4 linked regions of the Tamandua tetradactyla genome follow. The protein of the gene in region 1 interacts with the protein of each later gene in a pairwise test. Links are inferred from orthologs where the notes say so. Each region holds a gene or a part of one and is shown in the gene's direction. Other genes may lie near its edges. The genes, in order: RUNDC3A, CCNL2, RAP2B and RAP2A.

The links.
Region 2: the proteins of RUNDC3A (region 1) and CCNL2 interact in binary tests that used the Homo sapiens proteins (3 or more experiments, as listed by UniProt). The two-hybrid records come from large-scale screens. The link is inferred for Tamandua tetradactyla from reciprocal best matches to the Homo sapiens genes RUNDC3A and CCNL2.
Region 3: the proteins of RUNDC3A (region 1) and RAP2B interact in binary tests that used the Homo sapiens proteins (3 or more experiments, as listed by UniProt). The two-hybrid records come from large-scale screens. The link is inferred for Tamandua tetradactyla from reciprocal best matches to the Homo sapiens genes RUNDC3A and RAP2B.
Region 4: the proteins of RUNDC3A (region 1) and RAP2A interact in binary tests that used the Homo sapiens proteins (3 or more experiments, as listed by UniProt). The link is inferred for Tamandua tetradactyla from reciprocal best matches to the Homo sapiens genes RUNDC3A and RAP2A.

Annotation. Positions count from the first base shown.
Region 1 is NC_135332.1:23,158,534-23,165,497, reverse strand, and holds the start of RUNDC3A (RUN domain-containing protein 3A), read left to right. Parts: upstream 1-3,954; 5' UTR 3,955-4,209; coding exon 4,210-4,316; intron 4,317-6,964. UniProt on the Homo sapiens protein: May act as an effector of RAP2A in neuronal cells.
Region 2 is NC_135328.1:223,487,681-223,495,110, forward strand, and holds the start of CCNL2 (cyclin-L2), read left to right. Parts: upstream 1-4,409; coding exon 4,410-4,691; intron 4,692-5,018; coding exon 5,019-5,093; intron 5,094-5,447; coding exon 5,448-5,557; intron 5,558-6,219; coding exon 6,220-6,340; intron 6,341-7,328; coding exon 7,329-7,393; intron 7,394-7,430. UniProt on the Homo sapiens protein: Involved in pre-mRNA splicing. May induce cell death, possibly by acting on the transcription and RNA processing of apoptosis-related factors.
Region 3 is NC_135331.1:47,937,489-47,944,175, forward strand, and holds RAP2B (ras-related protein Rap-2b), read left to right. Parts: upstream 1-3,923; 5' UTR 3,924-4,103; coding exon 4,104-4,655; 3' UTR 4,656-6,167; downstream 6,168-6,687. UniProt on the Homo sapiens protein: Small GTP-binding protein which cycles between a GDP-bound inactive and a GTP-bound active form. Involved in EGFR and CHRM3 signaling pathways through stimulation of PLCE1.
Region 4 is NC_135330.1:166,207,180-166,214,288, forward strand, and holds the start of RAP2A (ras-related protein Rap-2a), read left to right. Parts: upstream 1-4,097; 5' UTR 4,098-4,157; coding exon 4,158-4,471; intron 4,472-4,703; coding exon of another isoform or gene 4,704-4,899; exon of another isoform or gene 4,900-5,121; intron 5,122-7,109. UniProt on the Homo sapiens protein: Small GTP-binding protein which cycles between a GDP-bound inactive and a GTP-bound active form. In its active form interacts with and regulates several effectors including MAP4K4, MINK1 and TNIK.

The DNA of each region.
Region 1 (6,964 bases):
TATAAAGGATGATAGTGACCATGTTTTAAAACTTCAACTTCTGTGTGAGACCAAAGGGAGAGATGTTTATTTGGTGCAAAATTTATATTTTCTGTAGCACACTATCTAATTTAACTTGTACGGTCAGTTTATTTGAACGCCATAATTACATGGAACTTTGAATAAGGAATGTGATCTTGTTGGTTTGTACAGGTTAGTGTTATGTCCCGACACATCCCAGAGTAATCTGGGCAGAGAATAAAGAAGTAGTTGCAAAGCCCCCTTGAGGGACAGGAAAAATGTGGAAATATTTAACTTCCCCACTTGGGAGTTCCTGATGTTCTCACAAGCATGGGGGACTACCAATTTAATAGGCCGAGCCCTCAATCTTGGGGTTTGCCCTTATGAAACTTATTCCTGCAAAGGAGAAGATAAGCCTACTCATAATTAAGTAGAGAACCTTTCTTGTTGTTCAGATGTGGCCTCTCTCTTGAAGTCAATTTGGCAGGTAAATTTGCTGCCCTCCCCTCTACATGGGACATGACTCCCAGGGGTGTAAATCTCCCTGGCAGCATGGGACATGACTCCCAGGATGAGTCTGAACTCAGCAATGTGGGATTGAGAACGCTTTCTTGGCCAAAAGGGAAAAGAGAAATGAAACAAAATAAAGTTTCAGTGGTTGAAAGGTTTCAAATAGAGTCAAGAGGTCATCCTGGAGGTTATTCTTAAGTATTACACAGATATCCCTTTTTAGTTTTTAGTGGATTATTATAGCTAGAAGGAAATATCTGAAACTGTTGACCGTGTTGCAGCAGCCCTGATGCGTGAAGATGTTTGTATATATCTATATAGCTTTTACAATGTGACTGTGTGATTGTGAAAACCTTGTGGCTGACACTCCCTTTATCCAGTGTACGGACAGATAAGAAAAAAAATAAGTATAATAAATAAATAATAGGGGGGGATAAGGGGCATAGGATGTTTTGGGGGGCTCTTTTATTTTTATTTTGGGGGAGTAATGAAAATGTTGAAAAATTGTGGGGATGAATGCACAACTATATGATGATGCTGTGAACCACTGATTGTGTACTTTGGATGATTACATGGTATGTGAATATATCTCAATGAAACTGCATTAAAAATAAGATGTTTTCTGGGGTACACATGCTTCAAACCATAACACCCTCAGATCAGTAAACTCTCCCTAATCCAGCCTTCTATCCCACCCCCTGATCCCAGTCCAACACCCTCAAGATCCACCCCCAAGTATAATAATTCCTTTCCCCCCATAGCTGGGGTGATTCTTTTCCACTGGGTCCCTGATGAGACTTGACCCTTGTCATTGAGAGGAGTCAGGGTCAGCATCAACGTGTGAGCCATTTGCCTCAGATGAGGATATTATTGTCACCCAGAGATGGATACCGTTACTATTGGGACTTTGCATCTCTTTTTTTAAAGAAGGGGGAAGAGCATCTTCGTTTGAGTGAAGGACACGCTACATTGTTAGGCAGGGTCACGAAGTTGCTATTGTCCAAATACGGGTAGAAAGGTGGGTATGGGTGCTGAGTAGACAGGGGGTGGACTGTGCCGGTTACTTACTTATTACCATTCAGCTCCAACTTCATTCTTCTTTTCTCTGCTTTCTGATGCGGGGTGGAACATCAGATGCTTCAAACTGGTTTCCCAGATGCCACGGCTAGCTGGCCTTCTAGTTGGTTCTGCTAACAGGAGGCACGAGGGAGTGACTGGAAGGCAGGAGGAAGGGGGAAGGGACTTCCCATTTTTTCTTGCTCATATTCCTGTCATTCGCTCATCGGAAGTCGCCTCCAGTCTTCAGCTTCTTCTACATTCCGAGAACCAGCCCTGTAGCTGCTCCTCAAAGGAATGAGCCGCAGCAGGGTGGCCTGGCCCAGAGTCTGAGCGCCAACTCAACAGCATCCCTCCACCAAGCTCCGAGATTGCTGTGACCTCATCTCTTCCCTTTTGTTCCCTCAGCCCTCGCTGCTCCCTTCAATTACTAGTTTGGGATGTCTCTGTGTTCTCTCTCTCTTTTTTGCTCTTTTCGTCCTCCAACTCCTTTCCCCATACTTTATCCTGTCTATTTGAAATTTCTTTCTTTTTTTTTTTTTGCACGGGCAGGCACCGGGAATCGAACCTGGGTCTCCAGCATGGCAAGTGAGAACTCTGCCACTGAGCCACCATGGCCCTCTATTTGAAATTTTTAATGTGGTTTCTATTTTTGTAACTAGACTCTATTTGATATGCAAAATTACAAAATTCATACAATATGGCTCTATTACTATAAAATTGTAAAGCTGGCCACATTAACCTACATAGATAAGAAAACTATAAAGAAAAGCAATGAAATAAATGATTATCACAATTGTCAGCATAGCATTTGCCTCTTGAGGGAACAGATGAAGATGAGATATGAAAGAGGCACAAGGGAGCTCCCAGGGCAGATAGTGTTCATTTTCCTGACCTGAGAGGGGGTTACACAGATGTTTGTTTTGTAAATATTCTTTAAACTGTTCATACTTTATTTGCTTTTATGCATATGATATATTTTGCAATTTAATAAAACAAAAGAACATCAATGCTGCCGCTAGCTATGGGCTGGAGGCTGGATGATTAGAAGGGCTTCTAGAGAGAGGTGAGGCAAGAGGAGGAACTAAAAAGACCAAGTCTTAGGTCCAAGAACTCAAGAATTCTGACTCCCTTGCTAGGAGTCAGAACCCTCTCCCTAGCTCTCAGGGAGCCAAACAAGGGTTGGGAGCTTCTAAGTCCTTCATTTCCTTCTCCTCCTTTGTTGGTGGTAACAGAATTGCTGTCTGCTGGGTGAGCATCTAAATCAACGCAGAGACTCTGGCTATAGATTAGCAGAATAGAAGCAGGAATGTGAATTAGGTGGGTGGCAAGAGCTGGTTAATGAGCTGAGCCCTGGGATGGAAGTCCCAGAGGTTGGATGGAGAGAAGGGGTGCAGCCCCTCCGATCAGCCTAGAAAGGCTTTGTTTGGTAGCTGCCCATTCCAGTGCCCGAAAGAGGAACCGGCTGCCTTACCTTAGGCAGATTGAATAGAGAAATAGAGAAATGGAGCAGCTGGAAGCAGGATGTGGGAGACTAATAGAGAGGCAAAGGGTAGCAGGGAAGCAAGACTATGCTCCATTTCCCCACCTACTTGGAAAAGCTGCAACCAGCTTTGCAGGGCCCTGGTGGCCTTGCACCGGGATCAGTGACTCCATTTAGAGTGGGTTGACAGCATCCTGCAACAATGTTGGCAGTCAAAGGGTTAACCCTTAGCGCTGCTGACTCGGGTTGTGTGAGGGGGTAGGTCTGAGGGAAAGCCGTGCCTTAACTGCCACTCCCTCCAGCTGCTGTGGCCCCACAGTGCTGGGAACATCCCCAGAGCCTCGGGACAGTCCTGAGCGGTTCTGGATTCCCATCCCCCACCATTGGAGTAGTTGGCTCCACAAGGCAGACCGACAAATCAAGCACGAGTAGAGGGACAAAACGACACGCAGTCCCTCTGATCGTTCCCTAGCCTCCAGGGTCAGCCACCTGAACTCTCGGATGCAGCCAGTGCCCTGGTCTCAGAAGGCCGATGCTGAAAGGGGCGATGGGGTGGGGGCGGCGCTAGAGTGGGGTTACCGGAGGTGAGGACCTCCATTCCCCAGACAGCAGGGGGAGAAATCAGGGACAGACACTAACAATTTCTGGTCAGAAGCTTAGAGTAGAGGTGTCGGAGCTCACAGACGCGGGACGAGGAGTCCCGGGCTCTGAATGTGGGGGCGGGGGACAGCCAGTGGTCCCCCCTTCCTCTCTCCAATCCCTGCCTCTCCAGGGGACCCCCTCCGACATCCCTGGGGCCTCGGCCCTTCCCCTTTCACCACCAAACCCTGCGTCCTCGGCGGATTGGTCCCCTGCTTGCCGCGGGGCGGGGCCCGGGGGTCCTGACGTCACCAGCGGGGGGGCCGGGCGGCTGGGGGAGGGGGTGACAGGCCCCGGCTCAGCACCTCGGAGAGCTCCCTCCCCGGCCTTGTTTTGCTCTGGTGTCACCGCCGGGGGAGGGAACGAAGGGGCCGGGCGCCGGGCGCTGAGGCTGGGAGATGACCGTCGAGGGGTCGAGGGGCCCCGGCGGGCAGAGGCCCCAGCCGTGAGCCGGCGGGGGAGCCGGGGCACCGGGCGGGGTGGGGGGCAGCGGGTGGCGGCAGCAGTAGCCGCACATCTGGATGGAAGCGAGCTTTGTCCAGACCACCATGGCTCTAGGGTTGTCCTCCAAGAAAGCGTCCTCCCGCAACGTGGCCGTGGAGCGTAGGAACCTGATCACCGTGTGCAGGTGGGCGCCGTTGGCGGGCGGGGGGTGGGGCGCTCCGGGAGCTGGCTTGGGGCGGGCTGCGGAAACCCGGACTGAGCGTGCCCGCGGGAGCAGGCACCGCAGCCGAGTGGAAAGGAAGGGGATCAAAGGGTTAAAAAGATTGCCACAGCCCCTCGCAGGTCCAGAATGGGGAGGGGGTTTGGAAGTCTGCTACCTACCCTTCTTGGCCAAGGGCCTGAGGGGGAGGGGGTGTTTTATTGGCATTGCAGCTTCCTGCGAGAACCAGGAAGTGACATTGTGTGTGAGGGGGAGGGGGGCCTGGCTGGCTCCGTTGCTGGGGTCGGGTCGGGGTGGGGGGTTTGTGAGGTGGGCAGAGGAGAACTGAAGGGGCATAAATGCCCAGAGCCTGGTCTCCCTGCGGTGGAGCATTGTCTTGGGACTTTGCTATCCACAAATCCTGGAGCAGGGACTCTGTGCCCTCCTCTATCTCTGGGCAGCTGCAGCCTGTAGCAGAGTCGCTTGGAAATGTGGGCAAAGCCCCCAAATCCATCCAGTGAAGGGTTAGAGCTGCTGTCCCTACCAAGGGAAGGACCAAGGGCCCAGCTACAGAAGCCTGTGTCCCCTGGGCTCGAGGGAAGGAGAAAGGGGACAGGGCCATCGGTCTCTAGATGGCCCTGAGGGTGGGGCTGTCGCAGTGTTAGGGAGATTTGCCTGCCTTCTTGGGGCCCAGGAAGTGGTCTTTCCCACTTCAATCCTGCAGTGACTCACCCTCCCCATCTTTCCCTGGAGGCAGGACGTGCCCAGCCACCCAGACAAACTCCCTGCATCCCCCACCAATACTTGCCTCTCCCTCGAGGGTCCCCATGCCAGCTGCCTTCTCCACCTGCAACCTCTCCTGCCGTCCTGCTCCCAGGCATTGGGGAGTAGGCCCTCTCAGGGCAGATGGTCCCACATGCAGGGCTCAGCTGCCAGCCCTAGCCGCCTGCACACTGGTGCCCTGGCCCCTGGCCCCTACAGCTCCCTCAAGGTTTCTGAGCACACACTCAACCATTCTGCATCTATCTCACACCATCACATCCTTAGTGCCCAGCACAGTGCTGGGCAAATCAGACCATCCATAAAAACACCTTGAATGTTATGGAGGGAGGGAGTGCAGCTATGGCCTGGCCCAAAGTTCAGGCCACTGCCTCTACCCTCACACACCACCACCTCCAACCCTGCCAATGTGCTCTAAAATGAAGACTCCTGCCCTTGGGGCCAATGGTCCTCGGTTCACGCCCTTATATCATCATGTATTAGCTGTGCAGCCTTGGTGAACTATCCTAACCACTCTGGGCCTTGAGTGCCTTATCCCCATGCCTGGTACACGGGTGGGTATAACAGCCACCCCAGAGAATGACTGTGACAGAATGCAGCCCTGATCTGATGACAGCCCTCTCAACTTTCTCCTCACTCTGTACTCCCAGGTCCTTCTTCTTTCTCTTGCCTGTCAAGATAGCTGTAGCTCTCGAGTGCGTATGGGAACAGGGAAACTCCCCCTAGCCTGGGCTGGAGACGCAGAGGTTCTGGTGGTCTGGAGGTGGTCTTAGAGCACAGGAGTAAGCTGTACGGTTTGGGCGGAACAGGCTTGATAAAGACTCAGAAACCCCTCAGGCTCCTGCTGCCTCACTGCCATCACACGGTCGCCTCCGGCTCCCAGAACATGTAACAGGCCATGCATTCCCCTGGGCCCAGGCCTTCCCATCACCATGGTAACCCTCAGCAGGCACCGCATCTCCTAACCCAGAGCACACCACGGGGCTCCCAGGGGCAAGAAACACTCTGCAGCACCCCTACGGGCAGATGGCAGATGGCTGCCACACTGAACCCAGCCCCTGGCCTCCACCGAGGCTTGACCCAGATGACCAGAAGAAACTGGAGGAGGCGGGTTGGATAATGAAGTCCAGCTAATGCCTTAAACGCAGGCTCCTGCTCAACAGGGACAGCCTCCCCACTAATGGTCCAGCTCCTCTTGGCCTGCACACATTTACCTTCTCCCAGTCCTGTCGGGGATGCAAACCAATATTTAATGAAGCAGGCGCTATTATTCCTGTTTACAATGGGAAAATTGGCTTCAGAGAGATTAAGTGGCTTGTCCAAGGTCACATAGTATTACAAAAAAAGCAGTATTTGAATCCACCAGGCCTTCTCTAGTGCAGCTCCACCCTTACCTGGCTCTGATCTCAGGCCAGACCAACTCTCAGCCCAAAAGGAAAGGGAAGGTTCTGTGGGTTCAGCTGGACCATTGGCCTGAGGGCTTCAGAAGCCAATACTCGAGGGCTAGAGCCTTGCAGCATGAGGGCCACAGAGGCTGTGGCTGCACAGGGCCTTGGTGATCATGACAGTCCCCAGCAGGCTCCAGGAGGGAGCAAAAAGAGCAAGGGCTTTGGAATCAGCCACACCTGCTTGACCCCTCCCCAGGCTAGATGCATGACCCCGAACAGATCAACCTTTTGGAGTCTCAGTTTCCTCATCTATAAAGTTGAGATGATGATGATGATGATAAGAGACTCTACTTCCCAGGGCTGCTGTAAGCATTGGATGAGATAATACATGTAAATATAATGCTTGCCACACTGTAAGGGCTTATATACCTTGGGGGGGGGGTGACAGTTCTAAGCAGCCTGCAT
Region 2 (7,430 bases), on another chromosome or scaffold:
AGAGGCCACCAGGTGGGATGGTACCCCCTCTCTTGGAATCCTAGATGCTCTTCTGTGAATTGGGGGCTTATGCCTCTCAACTCTGATCCTGGCTCCCCTCAAGGCTGCCTGGACAGCCCATTCAGTACCTGCTTCCCCATTCCATGCGCGCCCCTGCCTCGTGGCGGGTCTTGGCCCTCTTGTCCCCCAGATGACTCCACTCTGACGTGCGGCCTCACCGTAAACCTATCCAGGTTTCTCACCGCGGACTTCCCTCCTCCCCGTGCCCCAAGTTCGTTCTTTCCCTCTGTAGTCCCCTTGCCTTGACCTCTCTCTCCAGCAGAAACCCTGGGACCCAGCTCCCTAGCTGTACGCCAGCCTCAGTTCTCTGCAGCCTCCAACTGGTCCCTAGCCCAGCCCTCCCCACAGCAGGCAAGCTGGCCCTCTTGGTCCTGGCTTTACCCCAGCCGCACATCGCCAGGCAGGGGCTTCTCAGTGACTGACCCTTGGCCCATCTGATGAGGCCATTTAGCATGCAGCATCCTGTTCCATGCCCCAGGGACTCAGATTCATTAAGTCCAGAGTCAGGCCGGAATCTGTTCTCAAGCCCACGGGGCTGATGGGGACAGCCATGTGCCTTCCTCCTGCCTTGCCGCCTGCCCACCGTGCCCACCTCTGATCAGCACGTGCACCTCAGGAGGGGTCCACACCTCTCTCCCCTGGCCAAGATGGAAGCTGGGTCCTTGCTCACCTTCAGGGCCAGGTGCTCCCTCGGGGCCCAAAGCTGGACTCGGTCCTCATGGGGCTCTGGTTCCACCCATCGCCTGTCTTCTCTGGACTTTGAGACCCTCCTGCCCCACTCCGCTCCTGAGTCTGCTTTCCTTTCTTCCGTAGGCCGGCTGCTCAGTTCCACTCTGCCCCTGTGATCACTGGGTCCACTGATCTGCTACGCCTCTGGTGGCGCTCACCACCACCAACAGCCACTTTTTCAACTTTTCTCACTTCTGAGCATCTGTGGGCCCAGAACCTACGCCCTCTGTGGGACTCTGGCTCTCCCTGCAGGCTGGCGTGCAACATGCTTAGGGTTCCTTCTTGCTGCGCCTGCTCAGTCTCCATGTCGTGTTTCTGTTTTCTGGGCTCAATCCTCCACCTGCTTCAGGAAAGCTCTCCATGCTTGTTCTAGTTTGCTAGCTGCTGGAATGCAACACACCAGAGATGGATTAGCTTTTAATAAAAGGGGATGTATTTTGTTAGTTCTTCAGAGGAAAGGCAACTAACTTTCATCTGAGGTTCTTTCTTGGGTGGGAAGGCTCAGGGTGATCTCTGCTGGCCTTTTCTCCAGGCCTCTGGGTTCCAACAACTTTCCCCAGGGTGATTTCTTTTTGCATCTCAAAGGCCTGGGCTGAGTGCTGAGATGAGGTATGCCGAGCTGCTTGGGCTGTGCTACGTTGAGCTTGCTCATTTAAGTACCAGCCAATTAAGTCAAACAGTCATGAGGTTCACGTACCATTGGTTCATGTCCACAGCAACAGAACTAGGTGCCTTCACCTGGCCAAGTTGACAACCAAATCTAACTGCCACAAGGCTCATGGCATTAGCCACTCTCTGCCTGCTGGTGGCTCCCACATCCTTCCCAATGCAGCCCTCCCCTGAGCTCGAGACATGCTTGTCCCACTGCGTCCTGGATACTTGCCCACGGCTCCAGAGGTTCCTAAGCCGAGCGCCCATCTCCCCCCACCCCACATGCTCCACTTGCCTCTTTGCCAGCAGACACCTAGAGTCAGTGTGGGCTTCCCCCTCAGGCTCAATGCCCCCCTCCAACCCACAGGTCCCGAGCAAGTCCTGTCTCTTGATTGCCCACTTTCCTTCATTCCCACTCAAAATCGTCGTCCTTTTCTCCAGCATCACCTCTGGCTTCAACAACTGCGCCGGCCTCCTTAGCACCCTCTGGTCTTTGTCCTGTTTAACAATGGCCTTTGGACCATGAGCACTTGGGGGCCAGGGGCTGCGGCCCCTCCACTGTTGTCCTGCTGCACTGAACAGCAGGGCCATGCTGTGCACACAGGTCACAGTACTCCTCAGTCATCAGCAGATGGCTACTGAACAGGCAACGGGAGCATCAGAGCTCGTTGTGTGGGGTCCAATGATGCGCGCACTGCATGGTAGTGAAGGGGCTGCCTTTTGCTCTGTATCTCGCCTCAATGAAAGGGGGTGTCATAGACCACTACAGGCTGCTCCCAGCACCCACCCCAACCCCTTCCTCCAGCCACAGGGCCCAGCTCTCCCTTTGGTGCAGTTCCGGGGACTGTGGCCCTGTCCCTAGCTCTAGGGCCTGGCCCTGATTAGCTAAGGCCATTAACTCTTCCCACTTTTCTGGCCAATCACTGCCCAGGGGATGGGCAAGCAACTAGGCAAGGATAATCAGAAACATGTTTGCTGGGATTTCCAGAGAACAGGAACTTTTCCTAGAGGGTGCTGCTGTAGCCAGTTTGCCTGCACACAGGAGGATCCTGGTGCTGCCCACCTAGGGAGAGGAGATGTTGGGGCTACGAAAGACGAGGAGAACTGGCTTCTTAGGTAGCAGCATTGGGAGTTGCTGGATCGAGTCTCTCCAGAAGTCAGGGCCCCATCTGGACACTTCAGAGGAGGGAAGCAATGGAGGCCTCTGGGTTTGGGCCGGTTTGAATTGAGGGCAATATCTAAGGCAAGTTTAAGTGCGACAGTCTACCTTCCCCCCAGGCTTCTCAGCCCACCCCCTACCCAGTTCCAACCACCCCACCCCAGGTTGCCCCCCCTCTCAGGCTCCCCACCCCCACCCCCAGGCCAGGGCTCACAACATTACTGGTGAATGTTTAACCGCAACGTGTGCAGTCACGGTTGATGACGACAGCATTTATTCCTCCTGTACAATGAGACCAACAGCCCTGATGCTGAGTGCCTTAAAAACTGCAAAGGAGGCTGGCAGTACTGAACCCAAGGGTGAGAACTAGGCGGGGCCTTCTAGGCACAAGTCTCTCTTTTCAGGAGTAAATGGGAGGTCTGTAAGGTCAAGAGGGGTTCAAAGGCATAAAGCCCCATCAGTGGTCCCCCACTGTTTTGTTTTTGGGTTTTTATTTTTTAACATTTTTTTACTGTGTAGTATAACATACACAAGCAAAAAAAACAAAGCAATAGTTTTCAAAGCACTCTTCAAAAAGTAGTTACAGGACAGATCCCAGCGTTTATCATGGGCTACCATACGAATCTCTCATATTTTTCCTTCTAGCTGCTCCAAAATATAGGAGTCTAGAAGGCTCAAATATTTTTCTATCATCACAATCGACCTTTTTTCTTTTTTTTGTGAAAAATAACATTAAAAAGCTATAAATTTCAAATCACAGCACCACAATTAGTTATAGAACGTATTTCAGAGTTTGACATGGGTTACAATTCCACAATTTTAGGTTTTATTATTATTTTTTTCAATCACATAGTCGCATTGCAAAAGCTGTATCATCATACAATCATCTTCAAGAAACATGGCTACTGGAACACAGCTCTACATTTTCAGGCAGTTCCCTCCAGCCTCTCCATTGCATCTTGAATAACAAGGTGATATCACTTAATGCTTAAGAATAACCTCCAGGATAACCTCTCGGCTCTGTTTGGAATCTCTCAGCCATTGACACTTAGTCTTATTTCTCTCTTCCCCCTTTCCGTGGAGAAGGCCCCCACTGTTATTCAAGTTCAAACTCTCCACGGGGTGCCCGGGGCCCACGAAGTCAGTCATGCTGACCGCTTCAGCCCCTGGCCTTGCTGCCCCGCGCCGGAACCGTCTGATGCCTGCCTTCTCCCGTGGCCAGGGGCTCGGCAGAGGCGCGGGACGCAGTGCTCCCCCTTACCGAGCTCCTCGTCTCGGGCCTGCGGACTGAACTCCGAAGGCCAAGGGCTTGTGGGCTGCAGACGCTGCGCAACTCCTGCGGCCTGAACCTCGGGGTCCGGAAGGGCTGAAACGTGAGCCCACCGCGGCTGCCACGTGCACGGCACGTACCCCTTAAACCACGACCCCTCAGCCTCCTCCGCCGCAGGCAGCCCGCGCCCCGGGACCGGAGCTACGCGCTTCGGGGGCTCCGTGGGATCGCGCGCCGCAGCCGGGAAGGCTCGGCCACGCGGAGAGACGCGCGGCTTCCGGGTCGGCGACGCAGCATTCGCGGCCGCGCCCCGGCGCCGCGCAGCACCTTGGGTAACCAGCCACCCCCGCGCGCGCCGATTCCGGCGCCGGCGTCCGGCGCGGCGCTGACGGGCAGGCCATGCGGCCAATCAGCGGGAGGCGCGACAGGACCTCCGCCGGCCCAGCCAATGGCGCGCGGGAGGCGGGATGGCCGCCGTCGTAGAGCGTCGCGAGGAGCGGCCCTGCCGGGAAGGAGCCGAGGAGAAGTCGGCGGCACAAAATGGCGGCGGCCGCGGCCGGGGTTCCGGGGCCCGCGGCTCCCGCGGCAGCGGCCGGCGCCCCAGGCACGGGAGGCGCAGCCCCCGGGGCGCAGGGGGTGCTGATCGGGGACAGGCTGTACTCCGGGGTGCTCATTACCCTGGAGAACTGCCTCCTGCCTGACGACAAGCTTCGCTTCACGCCGTCCATGTCGAGCGGCCTCGACACCGACACGGAGACCGACCTCCGCGTGGTGGGCTGCGAGCTCATCCAGGCGGCCGGGATCCTGCTCCGCCTGCCGCAGGTGAGTGCGCGGCCGCGGGCGGAGGTAACCGCCCCGCCGGCCCGGCCTTTTGTTGGCGGCCGCGCGGGCTTCGCGCCGGCCCATCCCGCCGGCCTCTTCCCCGGCCCCGGGCCCACCTCCGCCGGCGTCCCGCCCGGGCCCCGCGCCCACTCACGCCGCGCCTCGGGCCTGCCTGCGGAGGGTGGGGGCCGCCAGCCTTCGTGGGTATCAGAGGCTTTGGGTTAATTCCTGGATCCAGAGCCACGCGAAAGCTGGCGATTTCCTTTATGTTGCGAAGCTCCTGAACGTGCGGCTAGAAGTGGTAGAAACCCCTTTTCACTTCTCCAGGTGGCCATGGCTACCGGGCAGGTGCTGTTCCAGCGGTTCTTCTACACCAAGTCCTTCGTGAAGCATTCCATGGAGGTGAGGGCCTGCGCCCGCCGGGGCCCCTTCCCCAGGGGTGCGGAGGCGGAAGCAGGCCTGCGGTGTGTTCCAGGTGTGGGGAGCCTGTTGTGCTCAGAGCCCCGCTCTCCCGGGCAGCCTTTTCCTCTGTGCGGCTCCCCTTTGCTCTTTTTATCTCTTTAAACCTTTATTCTGGCTCTGTGGCTCAATGTAAAATTTTCCATTTTTGTAGCTTTGAAGTACACAGTTGAGTGGTATTAATTACGTTCACGATGGTGGGCTCCCAGCACTGCTTTCGTCGCGCTTCCCAAGTCTTTGGAAGCCATCAGGGTGGGAACAGTCATCCGGATGTTGCAGTGTGTACATTTATTTCAGCATGTGTCAATGGCCTGTGTTCACCTGGCCTCCAAAATAGAAGAGGCCCCAAGACGGATAAGGGATGTCATCAACGTGTTTCATCGGCTCCGGCATCTGAGAGAGAAGAAGTGAGTGTTTTTGTTACAGCTGTGGTGAATGTCTCCTTATATTTGTGGTTTTTGAAGTGCCTTAGGGCTTCTGTAACAAAACTCCTGGTGTGAGGTTTTAAACTTGTGGGTCATTCGTTAATGTATTCCCAAGCACCAGGACAGGGGGTTATGCCCAGGGCTTCTCAACAGGGATTGCTCAATGAACGAAGGGGCTGCTGTGGGCAAGGACAGAGGCCTGTGGCTGTGGTTTTCCTGGTACTGGTGTTTGGGTTGCCCATATCAGTTCATCACCCTCTCGTCTCTGGTCTCCTACATATCTCTGCTCTGGAGCCTCTATACTATGACGTTTTGGACCAAGTTATTCCACTGCAGGGCTGCCCTTTGGATTTTAGGATGTTTAGCAGCATCTCTAGCTGCTGCCCGCTCCAGTGCAGTTGGACTTTGCTGTGCCCTAGAGCGCCATTTATCTATAAGGGAAAGGGGAGGACCATAGCTCAGTGTAGGGGTCTAGGAAGGCTTTGTGATGCTGTCCCTGAAGGTAGTAAAGTCGGCCTCCTCGTGATGTCTGTGTCGTAGCGTTTCTGTCCTCAGTTCTCAGCCTTTGGAGGTAATCATGGGATTTGAAAGACTTCATTTTATTTGACCCTTATGCAGGTCATGTGCTTTGTTTGTCTTTCTAGGAAACCTGTGCCTCTTCTATTGGATCAAGATTATGTTAATTTAAAAAACCAAATCATAAAAGCAGAAAGACGTGTTCTGAAGGAGCTTGGCTTCTGCGTCCACGTGAAGCATCCTCACAAGGTCAGTATAGGCACAGGCCTGGCCACTGGCTGCTGCTGCTCATTTTATTTTCACTGCTAAGCAAGCCTTTAAAGAGAATTGAAATGCATCCTGGACTTGGTTCTCCAGTTTGTGTCTATAATTTCGCAGTAATCTTTTTGTAAATATTACTTCTTAATTTTAAATATTTTTTAAGGGTACTGGAATTGGCTTCTTTTAGTTTTGAGTTGACAGAGACATAGTGGTAAATTTATAAAACATTTTCTTTTTCCACAGTTTGTCTTCTGAAGTTCCATTAGTAATAATCTTTCATTGTCTTATAGAGGAAATGGAAGAATTCTAAGCCTTTTTATTTTGAAATGAACTAAGCCAGTTTTGCAGCAAGTATTAATTAAGGAGCACGACTACTATACTTTTAGTATATTTCAGTTTATTTACAGTGCCACGAATATCTGCTGTGTCATACTTTTTAAAAAATTGCTTTTAAAAAAGATTGCTGTTTGCATCTTTGATTTCATTCCCTTCTCATTGATGGGTGTCCTCATATCTTCTCTTTTACTTGTTTGATTTTTTGTCATTTCAAATTCTTGGTAAACTCTCCAATTTAAGCAGCTTTAAGCGCTTTCTTCACTTTCTGGAGGACTTTCACATGTGTTTTATGTAAGTTGGTGATTGGGATACAGAGATGTTAGGCAGGCAAATCTCACTGGTGGAAAAGGTGTCGAAGACAAGACTGAGAATCTGCTAGATGCTGGCCATGAAACGAGGCCTTCCCTGCCGGGGTGCAGCTCTGTTCTCGTGTGCATGCTTGCTGCCCAGCTGCCAAAGCAGGTAGCAGGTGCGTCAGCAAAAGCTCACTCTCCAGCCGAGCTCCATCCACTGGGCGTGTGACTGGGAAGCCACTCCTGGAATCTAGCTTGAGGCTCTCGTTTGCTGCATGGATGCCCAGAAAGCTGAATTCTTGGCTCTCCAGATTCTTGGTAATAACTGCCTGACCCATATCTTCCAGATAATCGTTATGTACCTTCAGGTGTTAGAGTGTGAGCGTAACCAACACCTGGTCCAGACGTCATGGTGAGTTGATTTTCTTTTGTTTTATGAGACCAGCAAG
Region 3 (6,687 bases), on another chromosome or scaffold:
AACCAGACATGGACTCTGCCCTCAAAGAATTCACACGGTGCTTAGGATGACAAGACATACACTTGTAAATAATTATGTTACAGGATGCCATAGAGGGGTACACAAAAACTCCTAACAGATTTCATAGGAGGAAGTGACCCTCTTAAAAACCCATGCATCAGCAAAGAAAAATCTGTGTATAAGCAATTTTTATTGCTTCATTCTGGATCCCAAAGCCCCAGTGCAAAATTTTCTGTGGGAGACCATCTGAGTGTAATAAAAATTGCTATTGAAGAATCCTTAATAGAAATTCTAAGGCACGGATCATATTGTTTATTCAAATTGTAGCCTCTTCCATGTCTTGGTGAGGCCACCAAGGTTCAATAATATCCATCTGCATGGTTACCAGTTATTCTGGGTATAGTTTCCTCTTCAGCTTTTTTTTTTTGAGTGCATGGTTTGGGAATCGAAGCCCAATCTCCCACATGAAAGGGGAGCATTCTATCACTGAACCACCCATGCACCCTGCTCTTCAGCTTTTAAAAGCACGTTCCCAACTATTCTCTCATTGGTTGTCAGTTTTTATCACTAAGGACACACTGGCAGCATGGAAAGGGCGGCCAGGATGGCAGGGCTCTAATTCTCACACTCCCATTAATTTGCCCAAGTCATCTATCTACCTGGATCTCAGTTCTCCCCACTAAATGCGGGACAAGGTCAACAGATTTCCTCAAGGAACCTCACCTACCTGGGTGGATAGCGCAACTTTTCATCGCCATTTTATAGATAAGGAAATCAAGCACAGGAGAGTTTAAGGGACTTGCCTAAGGCCCCAGAGATAATGATTAATATCCAATACTTCGGATTAGATACTAGACCTATAAGGAGAAAGCTTTTCTACTTTATCAGACCCAGAACCACACCCAACATTTGTGGGCAAGAGTACAAACAGAGGCCCAGAGCATGAATCTAAATATTTAAGTTATAAATCAAGCTAACAAACTGTTAAAATATAGTCTATTCTCCAACCTTGAGAAATAAATGCCTCTCCCACTATGACAAATAAATACCTCTTCGCAAGGATCTGGAAGGCCAGGTGTGAATTAGGAATTCTCCAGGCTGGAAGGTGGCAGGGAAGGGAACGCTGACCCTAACTGACCCTTATAACTGACAGCAAAAGGAGGCGCCCAAAGGCCTGGGATTACACACCTCAGTCTACAGTCCAAGAACTGTCCAAACCCCAACAAAAAGCCATTCCTGGGACACAGGTGAGTACAGAGGCCTGAGCTAGCCTCGATTGTGAGTTTGTCATCATATGCAGAGGATTCCAGAGATCCAGCTACCTAGATCATGGTTTAGAAGCGCGTTCTCCACGTAGACCATCACCTTGACCAGATGGTCCCTGTTACTTGGGATCGAACAGGTATGATTGCACTGCCTGTTAAATTCAACCTCGGAAAAGAAAATCCGGGAACTTTCTTGTGCTAAGGCAGTACAACCAAACATTAGAGACCAGGCGCTGCAGCCAAACACCTGGGATCTTAGCTCATCCACTCCCTAGCTAGGCAATCTCAGGTAAGTTACTAAACATCTCATGGTCTCAGTTGCCTCAACTTTAAGACAGGTGTAATAATCATTATTATGAAGTGAAAATGAGATGGTAGGTGCGTGGAGATGCTGGAGAAACGTTGCTGGGTTCTCTACAGCTGTGTTAGGCGAATTTGTCTCAGAAAGGCTTTTCTGGAGAATTATATAAGAATAAGTATATCCAAGCCCTCTAATAGGGACGGTGCAATTCCTCTCTCCACTAAATAGAGGAGCCAGGCGTAGGGGTCGACACCATCCAGCCGGCCCGAGACAGAAGCTGTTGCCCACTTCCCACTTGGTCCTGCGCCCAAGCACTTTACCAGCTTGCAGACTCCTGTTAGGAGTTACAGCCAGAGGTCTTGAGTTAACTCGCAAAAGTGGCTGTGAGTCACGACGGGACTAGGAACTGAAACCAAGTATTGGCATCTGCAGTTTATGCTGGTTCATCCCTCCAATGCTGAAGGTTAAACCAGTGGGAAGTGGCATCGATTTAAAAAGGTAAGCCACCGAGTCAGGGTTGACGCTGCTCGGTCCCGTCCCCACCCCCTCCACCCTCGGGCTCACGCTGCCTTCAATGTCTTCAGACAGGTCTCGACATCTCTCCTCTCGGAGGAAGGAGAGAGACACGGATCAAGTCGAGGCATCTCCCTCGCACCTCCCGTGAGTGTGAGCCGAGCCAAGCCTAGCGATTGTCCATCTGGAAAGCGAAGACGTTTTTCAAGAAGCAAGCCTGGGCATTCCCCCCACCCACTCCAGGCGAACCTAATTCCAAGTGGCCCATTTCTTCACCCTTGCTCCTGTCCCGTCCCTGCAAAAAAACTTGGTGTCCAAGAACTATAATCAGTCCTTTCTGACTTACTCGCCTAAGGGACAGTCGTGACTGGGCACCGAGAAGCCAGACTCGCTCGAAAACACCAACAAAGGACTATATTTAGTTCTGAGCTCTCCGCCTAAATTCCTCTATTTTTTTTTTCACTCTCAGCTTCAAAACGACTGGGTTGGGGAAGTGGGAGGAAGGGGGCGGGGGAGCCGCGGAGAAAGAACAGCTGTGCCTCCGCCTCCCAACTCAATCTCTATAAATAACCAATCACAAGCGGAGGCTACTTTTTAGCCAATGAAGCACCCCAAACTGATAAAATCTTGGCGGCAGCCAATGGGAGAAAATTTGGGGGTGTGAGACCTGCGCCCCGGGACCAATGGGTACCGAATTCTGGAAGAGGTAATTTGAGCCGGAGTGTGGGCGTGTGATGCAAAAGCTTCCCACTTTCAGGACCCAAAATCTGCTCGGCCGACTGAGCATGCCCAGAGCGGCAGGGAGCATCGCCGCGACTTCTGGATTGGGATGTATTTCGGGTTTCCGGGTTTTGGTCACAGCCGAGAAGGAGGTGGGTGGGACCCGTCAAGTCCCTGCTGGGAGAGAGTAGGGGTCCAGAGAGTACTATCCAATTCCCGCCCCCCCCACCCCAACCTTTCCTCGTCGGAACAGTTTCTCAGCCCAGTTTTCCCGTTTCCTTTGTCCAGGAGATAAAGTGTGGGAAGGGTCAGCTAGAGAAGGTGGAGCTGCGTTTTTACGCGCGCCTCCCATGCGTTCCACCGCACCAAAACGCCCTTTGGGTCTCCGAACCTGAGACTCAAATCCGCCGGGGCTTGAGGCGTGGAGTCCGTGGGCCCCTGAAAACCCCGGAGTTTGCAAAACCCCAGACACCCCACCCCGGGGCGGCCCACGCGCTTTCTGTAGATGCACCGCTCTTGTACACAAACCCCAGAGCGGTACAAAAAAGTTGCCCCATTTTCCCGTTTGAGCCGACCCCCACCTCATCCTCTCCCACTTGATCCAGACGCACAAATGCACGCATTTCGAGTTTAGTTACCAGCCGCGCGCCGCTCCCAAATCCGCTCCTCCTAGACTTAAATCGCGAGCCCCGCCCTCCGCCCGGTCCCTCCCAGGCCTCGCGGAAAACCCGGAACTGTGACTCGGATGGGCGCGGGCGGTGGCGCACTGGGCATGCTCGCCCGGGCGGGGAGGGCCGGGCTGCGCGCGGCGAGTAGGAAGCCCTCGCCCCGCGGAGGCAGCGAGGGAGAGCGCGATGGGCCGCAGCGGTGGGCACACGCTCCGCGGGGACTCATGCCACGCGCGTCCGCGGCCGGCGCTCAATTAGCAGCCGCCTCCGCAGCTCGCCGCCGCCGCCACCTCCTCCCCGCCCTCCCGGGCTGCAGCGGCGAAGAGCTCCAGCCGTCGCCGCGCACAGGCTGCTGGCATTGTCCTCCCGGTGCGCCGCCCGGCCGGGCTGCTGCTGCGGGTTACTGCGGGGCCCTGGACCCGCGCCCCTGGGACGCGTCGCCGCCGCCGCCGCGGGTCGGCCGGGCGCCCGGCCCCGGCTTTGTGATAACTGCGTCCTGCACTCCCCGGCCACTCTCTCCTGGTTTTTTCCTGCGGACCCGAAGAAGGGGAGAAGTCCGGCCGCCAAGCCCAACCTTCCCCAGGCTCGCAGCCCCGACGGGGCCGCGGCAGGAGCGGCGAGAGCGCTGACGGAGCCATGAGAGAGTACAAAGTGGTGGTGCTGGGCTCGGGCGGCGTGGGCAAGTCCGCGCTCACCGTGCAGTTCGTGACGGGTTCCTTCATCGAGAAGTACGACCCGACCATCGAGGACTTCTACCGCAAGGAGATTGAGGTGGACTCGTCGCCGTCGGTGCTGGAGATTCTGGACACTGCGGGCACGGAGCAGTTCGCCTCCATGCGGGACCTGTACATCAAGAACGGCCAGGGCTTCATCCTCGTCTACAGCCTCGTCAACCAGCAGAGCTTCCAGGACATCAAGCCCATGCGGGACCAGATCATCCGCGTGAAGCGGTACGAGCGCGTGCCCATGATCCTGGTGGGCAACAAGGTGGACCTGGAGGGCGAGCGCGAGGTCTCTTACGGGGAGGGCAAGGCCCTGGCCGAGGAGTGGAGCTGCCCCTTCATGGAGACGTCGGCCAAAAACAAAGCCTCGGTGGACGAGCTGTTCGCCGAGATCGTGCGGCAGATGAACTACGCGGCTCAGCCCAACGGCGACGAGGGCTGCTGCTCGGCCTGCGTGATCCTCTGAGGCGCCGGCGGCCGCTGTGCGCCGGCCGCGCTCTGCGCACAAAAGCCAAAAGCACCCGACTCTCTTAAATGTGATTTCTCTTCTTGCTTTGAGATTGGAGACGACTTTGCATTGGCGGAGATGGCGCGGGAGCCCGACCGGCCTCCGCTGCCGACGTCCCCTGCCTCCTCCCCGAGGTGGCGGGGGTGACCCGTCCTGACCATCCGAAACCCTGTTGGAAATGTGGCTCTTTGCAGCATGTACGTTTCTCATTGATTTTGATTGACGCATATTTCCCCGTTTAAGTAGCCGTTAGGGCGCTGTATTGGCGGCTTGACACCCGGCAAGCAAAAGTTTCGGCCTGGAAAAAAAAAATTAGGGGTTGGGGTGGGGGGAAAGAAGGGAAGAAGAGGGGGCGAATGGAGGAAAGAGAGGTCTTTCTTTTTTTTCTTTTTTGGCAACAACCGTTTTTGTAGTTCCAAGTTTTAAATACATGGAAGGAAGTCCGGGAGAACCAAGTGAAGGAGCAGAAAGAGAGAAGAAACTTTTGCTTTTTTTTTTTTCCTTGTTTTCCAGGAGTAGGTGGAAATTAAGATGGGGTTCCTTTTCTGCCAGCTTGGAAGGGCAATCCCGTGACTGATTGCGATTCTAAGGATGTCTATGCAAAGTTGGATTCTTGTTACAGTGTATCCAATCTGAAGTATTGCACATCTGAACTGGGACTGTTAACTCTGATGCCAATACGGTGTGGGGGTGCCAGAAAGTGTCTGCTGATATTTGTGGAAAAAAAAAATTATATTTTGTTTACCTACTGTATTAAAGGGGAGTCTGGGGGAGAATGGTAGTTTTGTTTTTTTGTTTTTTTTTAAATCAGCTGTGAAAAAAATGTTACAGATCTGCACATTTTTTTGTGTAATATTGTGTGTTTATTTTTAAGTTTAGTTTTTTTTTTTTTTTGGTTGGCAGTAACAGATTTTGATGACTAACTCTTTAAAATACAGTACAAAGACTTCCTAAATGTGATTCAGGGCCCCCAGCACCCCTGTGTCTGCAGAGTGCCTTCCAAACTCAGCTGTTCCAGCCGGTGCCAACCTGTGAACTTCCCACCATATTCTAGAATCTTGATATTCCCCAAACCCCTTCCCAGTTTCCTTTCAGTAATCTGCCTGAACAAGCCAAGACAATAGGGCCTGCTGTTCAGTGAATTTCTTCATTATTTCCAGACTTTCAAATGTAATTTCCATGTCTTGCAATGTTTGGGTTTTTTGTTTTTGTCATTTCTTGCTTCATTTTGTTCAATTTTTAAGATATTTAGCTCCCCTTTTATATTGTTTTATAATTTTTTTTTTGTTTTTTGTTTTTTTTGGTTTTCTGTTATAAGGTGTTCCTACGGAAGCAAAGAGCAAAATTGTACTGTTGTGCTGTATCAAGAGAATTCTAACTGTAATTTTTAATTCCAGACATGCGTTTAATCATTGTCTCTTCATTTTAAGACTTTTAATACAAATGTCATTTTTAAAGAAAAACTCAAAACTATTTGTGTTTCTGTGTTTCATATTCAGTGAGTTAATACAGTTATCATGGGTGAGGTGGATTGGGCCAGGTGCATGATGCCTTGAGATATTTATCAAATTTTGAAGACAAGCATCTCACTTATGGGTTGAGTGACTGCCCCAAATTCCTAAAATACAAGAGAATCAAAAGCTGTGGGGTATGCTGTATCATCAGAGTACAGGATGGGCCCATATACTGAATCTGTTATGCTGACATGGAAGCAGGGAAGGGGAAAAGCTAATTGCTGAAAATGCCTTAGATTTGGGAAAGTAATCCTTCATCTGGCATGGCTGGGTGATCCTCATTAATTTATTATTCTTGTCTTGTTTTTCTTGTTGTTTAAGTTATGTCCCATCAAGTCAAAAGCGTCTTTGGGGGGCAGATGGTTTTCATTTTTGAAGTCTCATTTGGTAGTGTCTTCTGCAGTGCTTTTGTCATATGGATTGTAGACGGTGTCCAACTTTTTTGAGGTTTTGATTTGAAAAACATCTTTAGATTA
Region 4 (7,109 bases), on another chromosome or scaffold:
AATGTCAAGAACTGAGTCATGTGCCTCCTTCTGAACTAAGCATGGGCAGAGGGGAGAGTACTGGTATTGAAGACCAATCCCAACTCATTTCTGGGTCTTTTGGCAAGATGAAAAGGAAACAGCAGGATATGCAAGCAACATTGCAGCCACACTTCTGCCACATTAAATGCTCCACATTAAATCTCTTGTTTTCTCAGAACCCTCAAGTTCTTAAGAAGTCTGTCTTTTCCCTATGTTTTAATCATCTATCCTTCTCTCTCGGAAATTTTTTCTTCTTAAAATTATTCTTTTAAAACATTTAAGTGGTTTCTTTCACTGACTGGCTTGTATGCTCAATTTGTGTTGTAATTATTTTTGTCTTCAAAATCACTGAAACTTACCACATTTTCAAAAGCGGAACAAGTTTACCCTGCTCCTTTCTTTCCACTGTTATATTTCTCAACAGTATTAAGAAAATATCTTCTGCTCTCTTTACAATTTCCAGCAGCATTTCACAGGCGTTAAATGTACTTGACTTGTCCTTCCCCTTTATGGATAGTCAGAGACATGCACACTTCAATAAAAGTGATAGGAATCAAGGTTTTATTAGCCAGGAAGTAATGGTCACATTACACACATACTGTACAACTTGTTTATACTAAATTATTTCCATATTTGCTCCTTGCCAGCATCAGGAAGTCCCAGAACACAGTGTATTTCCCACATAATTCCACCTTTTCTAACATATTTCACAGAAGGAAAGAAAGGAGCTGGGTTTCCATGGTAACACAAATGTGACAATTGCTGGTATTTGGGCAGAGGTGAGTGCTCTTTCACACTCAGTGGGAGAGGAGAAATGAAGTTGTTTTTTTGTTTGTTTGTTTTTGTTTTGCCCCTTGGCAATTCACTTCAGAAACTGAAGAGACCCTGCAGTATCAGTGTACAGTGTTAAGTTTTCACTATTACATAGATTTACAACTCTTAGGGAAATTTCAATTTTGTCTTCTCTCAATTATATGCTATCTTTCTCACAAACAATGAATGAAAATGTTTTTATTTCTAAAATCACCCTCAGAATAGATTATATTGGCATAACAATGAACATAATTAAGAGAACAGGAGATAGACACTCATCTCCCACCCATATCAGCAAAATTCTCTAAACACCCTTTCAGCAGCTAACCCTTCAACCAACATTGCACATACAGTCACAAATCAGTATCATTATCCACAGCAGAACAGGTGAGAAAATATGCTGAAAATATATCTGTCATTTTCTTTCATCTCTCAGTGGTTAAAAATCTACCTCCATGACACTGAGAGTGAAATTGAGGTTAGTCTATTTGAGAAACAAATAAACTGTGACTATCCAAAAACCACAACCGTTACACATCTCCTTTTCAAGAAAATCAGCACTGATGAATGATCAGGAGAAATAACCAGGGAAATGCCAAAAAAAAAAAAAAAAAAAAAAGCTCTCCTACTCTCTGTTGTGCGAAGTGGAAAAATAGGGAACCTAGTCACTAACTTTTGTGACAACTTCTATCTGATGAGCTCCAATCCAGAAATATCCAACTCTCTGGAAACCTAGGAGTAATGAATATGTTTGTTTGCTGTGGTTACATTCTGAACCCACAATCCCAATGCAAATTTCTCAAGCCACCGAACCTCTTTTTCTTGCACAGTGAATGGATTTTCGGTTCCACCGTAATACAAAGTTTTACATGGGTTGTAATTATCTATACAAAGAAACTTCGATGCTTTTTGACCCTATTTTTGCTGATTGTGATGGCTCAGATATAAACTCATATCTTGATGCCATGTAATCAAGAAATAATGACTGAGTTACGCTTTATTGTACATTACTTATTCGAAAGCACACCTGCCCTTAATTGTTTTAAACAAAAACTTGGTGTGTGATTCTATAGCAAGATAATGCAAAAATACAAATTATCCATTCCAAACAATAGAGTAGTAGGGCAGTAGGAGGCTGCGAAATCAAGATACATCTTTCTGGTAGTTTATTAATTGACAAAATGTGGTAAGAGAACGTCTGATTTTTAGAGACGCTCGGACCAAAATATTTATATGATGACCTTGTAGGGGAGAGAAATCGGTGGAGAGATCTGCCAGATCAAACATTAGAATTATAGAATTCATTATTCTCAAGAGATGTGAGAGACAGTAATGCGTAAGTGTAGATTAGTTCGAGAAAGACATAATTTAAGGAAGGGAAACCCAATAGCAAGTTATACAAAAATAATCCAAGAATGTTTGGGGATTTAACTCCTTCTAAATTTGAAGTCATGGCTAGGGCAGGGAGTGTAAATAAGCTTTAATGCTAGAGACAGGAAGTATTACACAGATGTTCTAAAAGGTACGTATAGAGCACCAATGTAACTGCTTCGTTATGCCTTCTTAATAACCCGAAAATTTCTCACCCTAAAGACAAAAGTCTGTTTTCCCGACCCATCCCACATCCCTGAGAACCATTTCCATGCCCAGCATTTAAGCAGACTGCCACCGAGGCTATGTTAAAAGCGGAATTCACCCCTCTCGCCTGCAACAAACCTCATTCCTTTGCCAGAATGAGGCACGGCGCCCAGCCCCTGGATCTTTGACCACTCCCAAACCACACCAGCCCCAAGCCTTGTCTCCATACTACCGGCCCTCGGTGGTTAATGTGTCGCTTGTTCTGGTTGGCGCAATCCAAGCCCAGGTCACTCAGCAGTTCACTACTATTGGTTGGCAGACAGTGCGCAGGAGCAAACGCCCAGCCCGGCGAGACTTCGAGGGGTGGGTTGGCTGACGCCGAGACGAATGTTTTTCCCCCATTGGCTGAAGAAGGTCCATCACATGGTATCAGGCAGCTCTCTATTGGCTGTGAGCGGTACCATGGGTCCTAGAGACGTGGTCTGGTTGGCTGGAATGAATCCAGCCTCCTAGATGTTCCAGCTGGCTGTTGCTAAGACGTATCCCTGGTCCTCCTGGCTATTGCACGGGGTTCCGCTCTCCAGGTTTTTCAGACGCCGGTAGCTGACAGGGCGTGGGAAGAGCTCGACTTCAGTCCCGCACCATGAAAGGGCGGGACTAGAGGGAAGGTGGGTGGAGCACGCGACGACGTCACCGGGCGTGGACCCGGCTTCGGTGGTGCCTAGCGGCGGCTGATTAGCCCATCGGGGAGTGGATTGAAGATACTTGTCACCTATACCTCAGTGTACTTACGCTTAAAACAAGGCTTCTATTCGTTATGTTTATACAACCTCAGGCAGAAGGCTGGAGGTTCCTGTCACGTAAAACAAAGCGCCATCTCGTTATGCTTATACAATATAAAGTCAAAGACAGTGACAGAGTGATGTCAGGCAAAGCCCCTCAACCAAAGGGCTCCTCAGACTCTTGCCCATCTCGTCCTGTCACTTTCCTGCCTCAAGGTAAAGCCTCGAAGATGGTATGGCTCTTCCAATATCTTGTCTCCCCAGTAATTTGAGAGTGGGATTCTCTGGTTGACGCTTTTTCTGTCTCAGGCAGACGGACTGGGCATGCTCAGTACACAGGCCTTGGTGTTCGATGGGGTGCCGTGGTAGGGTGTTGCTGAGTGGCCTGGGTGGTGGTTTGCTTAGCCGCGGGCAGAAGCTTCCACGCAGCCCAGAGCCTCCCCGGAGGCGCGAGGCTGGTCGCCTAGACGACTGAGGGGAGGAGGCGGGGATTTGCGGCCCGGCCCCGCCCCGCCCTGGACTGCCGGGCCCCGCCCCCGGTAGGCGCTGCGGCTGGGGCTCGGGCGCGCGCTCTAGCGCCTGGGGAGGCGGCGGCGGCGGCGGCGGGCGGGGAGCTGGGCGTGGAGGCGCGAGGGGCGGGGCGGGCGGCACTGCGGGCCCGCGGTTCGGCAGCTCCCGTGGCTCCTGCTCTCAGCTCGCCCTCTGTTCCTCCCGGCGCCCGCGGGGTCGCGTTGCCGTCCGGCTTGGCCCATGCCCAGGGCCGCCGCTCCCTCAGCTGCCGCCGCCGCCGCCGCCGCCGCCGCCGCCGCCCGGGGAACCGCCGCGGCCGTGAGGTGGGGGCGGCCGTGGGAGGCGGCGGGGCCAGCCGCCGGGGCAGGGTCCGGGGGTGCAGCGCGGCGGGCGTAGGTCTATGTCGCGGGCGGCGGCGGCGGTGGCAGCAATAGCAGCGGCAGCAGAGAGACGATGCGCGAGTACAAAGTGGTGGTGCTGGGCTCGGGCGGGGTAGGCAAATCCGCCCTGACCGTGCAGTTCGTGACCGGCACCTTCATCGAGAAATACGACCCCACCATCGAGGACTTCTACCGCAAGGAGATCGAGGTGGACTCGTCGCCGTCGGTGCTGGAGATCCTGGACACGGCGGGCACCGAGCAGTTCGCGTCCATGCGGGACCTGTACATCAAGAACGGCCAGGGCTTCATCCTCGTCTACAGCCTCGTCAACCAGCAGAGCTTCCAGGACATCAAGCCCATGCGGGACCAGATCATCCGAGTGAAGCGGTGAGTGAGCCGGGCGGGCGCGGCCGCGGGAGCCCCTTCTGAGCCGAGCTGGGGTCCCGCCCGGGCGGCCCCCAAAGGGTCACGGGAGGCTTCGCAGCTGGACTCGCGAGTCATTGTCCCACGGTCAGAAATCCCCCGCGTGTGTCCATGTGTAGGGGGAGCTGTCTAGGGAGATGGCTCTGAGGTTTTATGCGTTATTGTCATCATTATTATTTTGCATCTCAAATTTTAGCGCTTTGTTTCAGAACTTAAAATTGGCCATCCGGTTAACCCAAGGCACAGCTCTTTGTCTCTTGAATAAGGTTAGTAGCGCTCGTACAGAACATCAAGGGAAACAAAGTTTAAAACTTGCAGGGGGAAAAGAGGTGGGTAGGTTTGTGCTGGAAAGAGGGAAGCTGTACAGGATAGGCGAGACATTTTCAAACTGAACCACAAGAAGTCTACTTTTGCAATATTTGACAGCAGGAATTGCACATACATATCTGTAAAAATGTCAAGTGAAGAGCAAAGAGACCTTTCTCATCTCATAATAGGTGTAATGGTGCAAAAGCCTTTTAGAGAATGAACTCTAATTTAGTGGCAAACTTTAAAGACAGATTTACGTATTATTTGAAGACATAACGATTCAGTGGAATTGGAAGAGTTCTAGCATACAGCTGCACAAGTATGCTATTTACTAGTTAAAAGGAATGCAGTTTAACTGTTTAGGGAAATGGTTTTTTATTCCTTTTTTTTTTTTTTTAATCTAGCTGACTTCCCCCCTCAAAAAAAAAAAAGTCTTGCCTGGAAATGAAATACAAGCTGCTTCTTCACATGTGTGACCCAAGTATTAGCTAATTTAAAAGTTAAGGCAAATAAGGCCTTTCTTAATAAAAACACTTTTCTGAAGTATGCATTTTGGAAATATGGCTATTAGCTTAAATGGTTGAAACTGCTGGGTTTCTCTAAAGTTGATTGAATACTTTTTTTTCCCTATAATTTTAAGCCTTTGAAATGTAATATCTTCAGAGTTTTAGCAGTTTTTTTCTAGTTTCTATTTAATTCACATTACTGCTTTCTCTGGTTGTTATTACTTCTTCTTTGCTGGTAATTTTGCAGATTTAGTGTCACTTTTTTTCCCTACCTCATCTACTGTAGCCATAAATTTGAAGAGGTACAGTGAAAAGACAGCTTTAAGTTTACCATAAACACAATCTTATTATAAACCTATTTGAATCTACTAATTTTTAAAAAGTAATGACCGAGTCATGTGTACTCAGGGGATGCTCAAAAATACTTTCCTGATGGCGGTTTTTTAATGCAACATATGAGGTCCAAGGAGAGGCCCTCTCCCCCTGGCTCCCTTAACTGATTGGGTATATACTTTAATAGCTAAACTAAAATTTTGTATGTTATTTCTTGAGTTAAATTTACAGCAAGAATAAAGTAAATATTTTCACGCCCTCTTGCTCTTTTAAGATCTATTAATTTGATTAGCTTTTTACTTCAACAGTCTTACTTACTTTTTATTTCTACAGTCTTATTTACTTAAATTGTTTGTTGATGGTTAACAGATGGCAATTTTGGTATTAAACTGAGTATGTATATGACATTTAAGGGTCTGCATTCAAGAGACTCAAATGCTAAATTTCTCTCTACCCCCAACATCACTGAATTAAAAAAAAAATCTACAGAACATGGTAGTCTAATACATTGCCACATGACAGTCTTTAGCCAAATACATACATCAAATAATAATATAAATAAATGCCCCAACTGCCCCATCCTTCACATTTAAATATAAACATAAGGATGCGTACATACATTCAAAAAGTCACATACTCAGGGTAAACTTCGTGACACAAGCCTAGGGGAGAGAATATGGTATGCAAGATATCATTGGATAGTATAGTTCACAAAATTTTGTAGTTTATTATCTTTAGTACAAATTACTTTTCTCTGTATATAATAAATGTTAGTTTAAAACTGGTGTTCTAGAACATTTTCTTGCTTTGTGGCCCAGGGAAAACAAAATTAGAGTAAAATCCTACTTATCTGGATGTTGTTTTACCCATTCGTTTCAGTTTGTAACTTAAAAAGACAATGACCAGCCAAAATAGTGTTCGTAAACTCTTTTCACTGGAATTCAACTATTTTATCCCCAATACTTGGACCCTTACATCTATGACCTGTTATTTTATCCTACCCTAACCTCATCATCTGGCTTCCCAACCTATATAGCATATTATAAATAAATTAAAATTGAAAGGGAGATAGGATCTATGTTTATTATATGCAATTTAATATACATGTATAATGCATATATTATGTTAAAGCAGGGACTCAATGTACTTGTTCTCTGATTCTTCCTACCACTTTAAGTGAATAAAACATGGTTTTCAAGTAAATGCATTTTCAGCTGCTTTGGGGACCAATTTATAAATTAACCAGATATTGTTGGAGTTATCCAATAATTATTCTCTCCCCTCTGCCTCTTGTGTGTCTGGTAGCTGCTTTAAATATAATATACACATGTAAAGTTGTTTTGTGAAATTTGGTATGTCCATAATGCAGGATTAACTGAAGTGCAGAGAGATTTGGTATCTTAGTCAAGACCATTCAGTGGTAGAGAAGAGGTTTAAATCTGTGTGGAACAGTA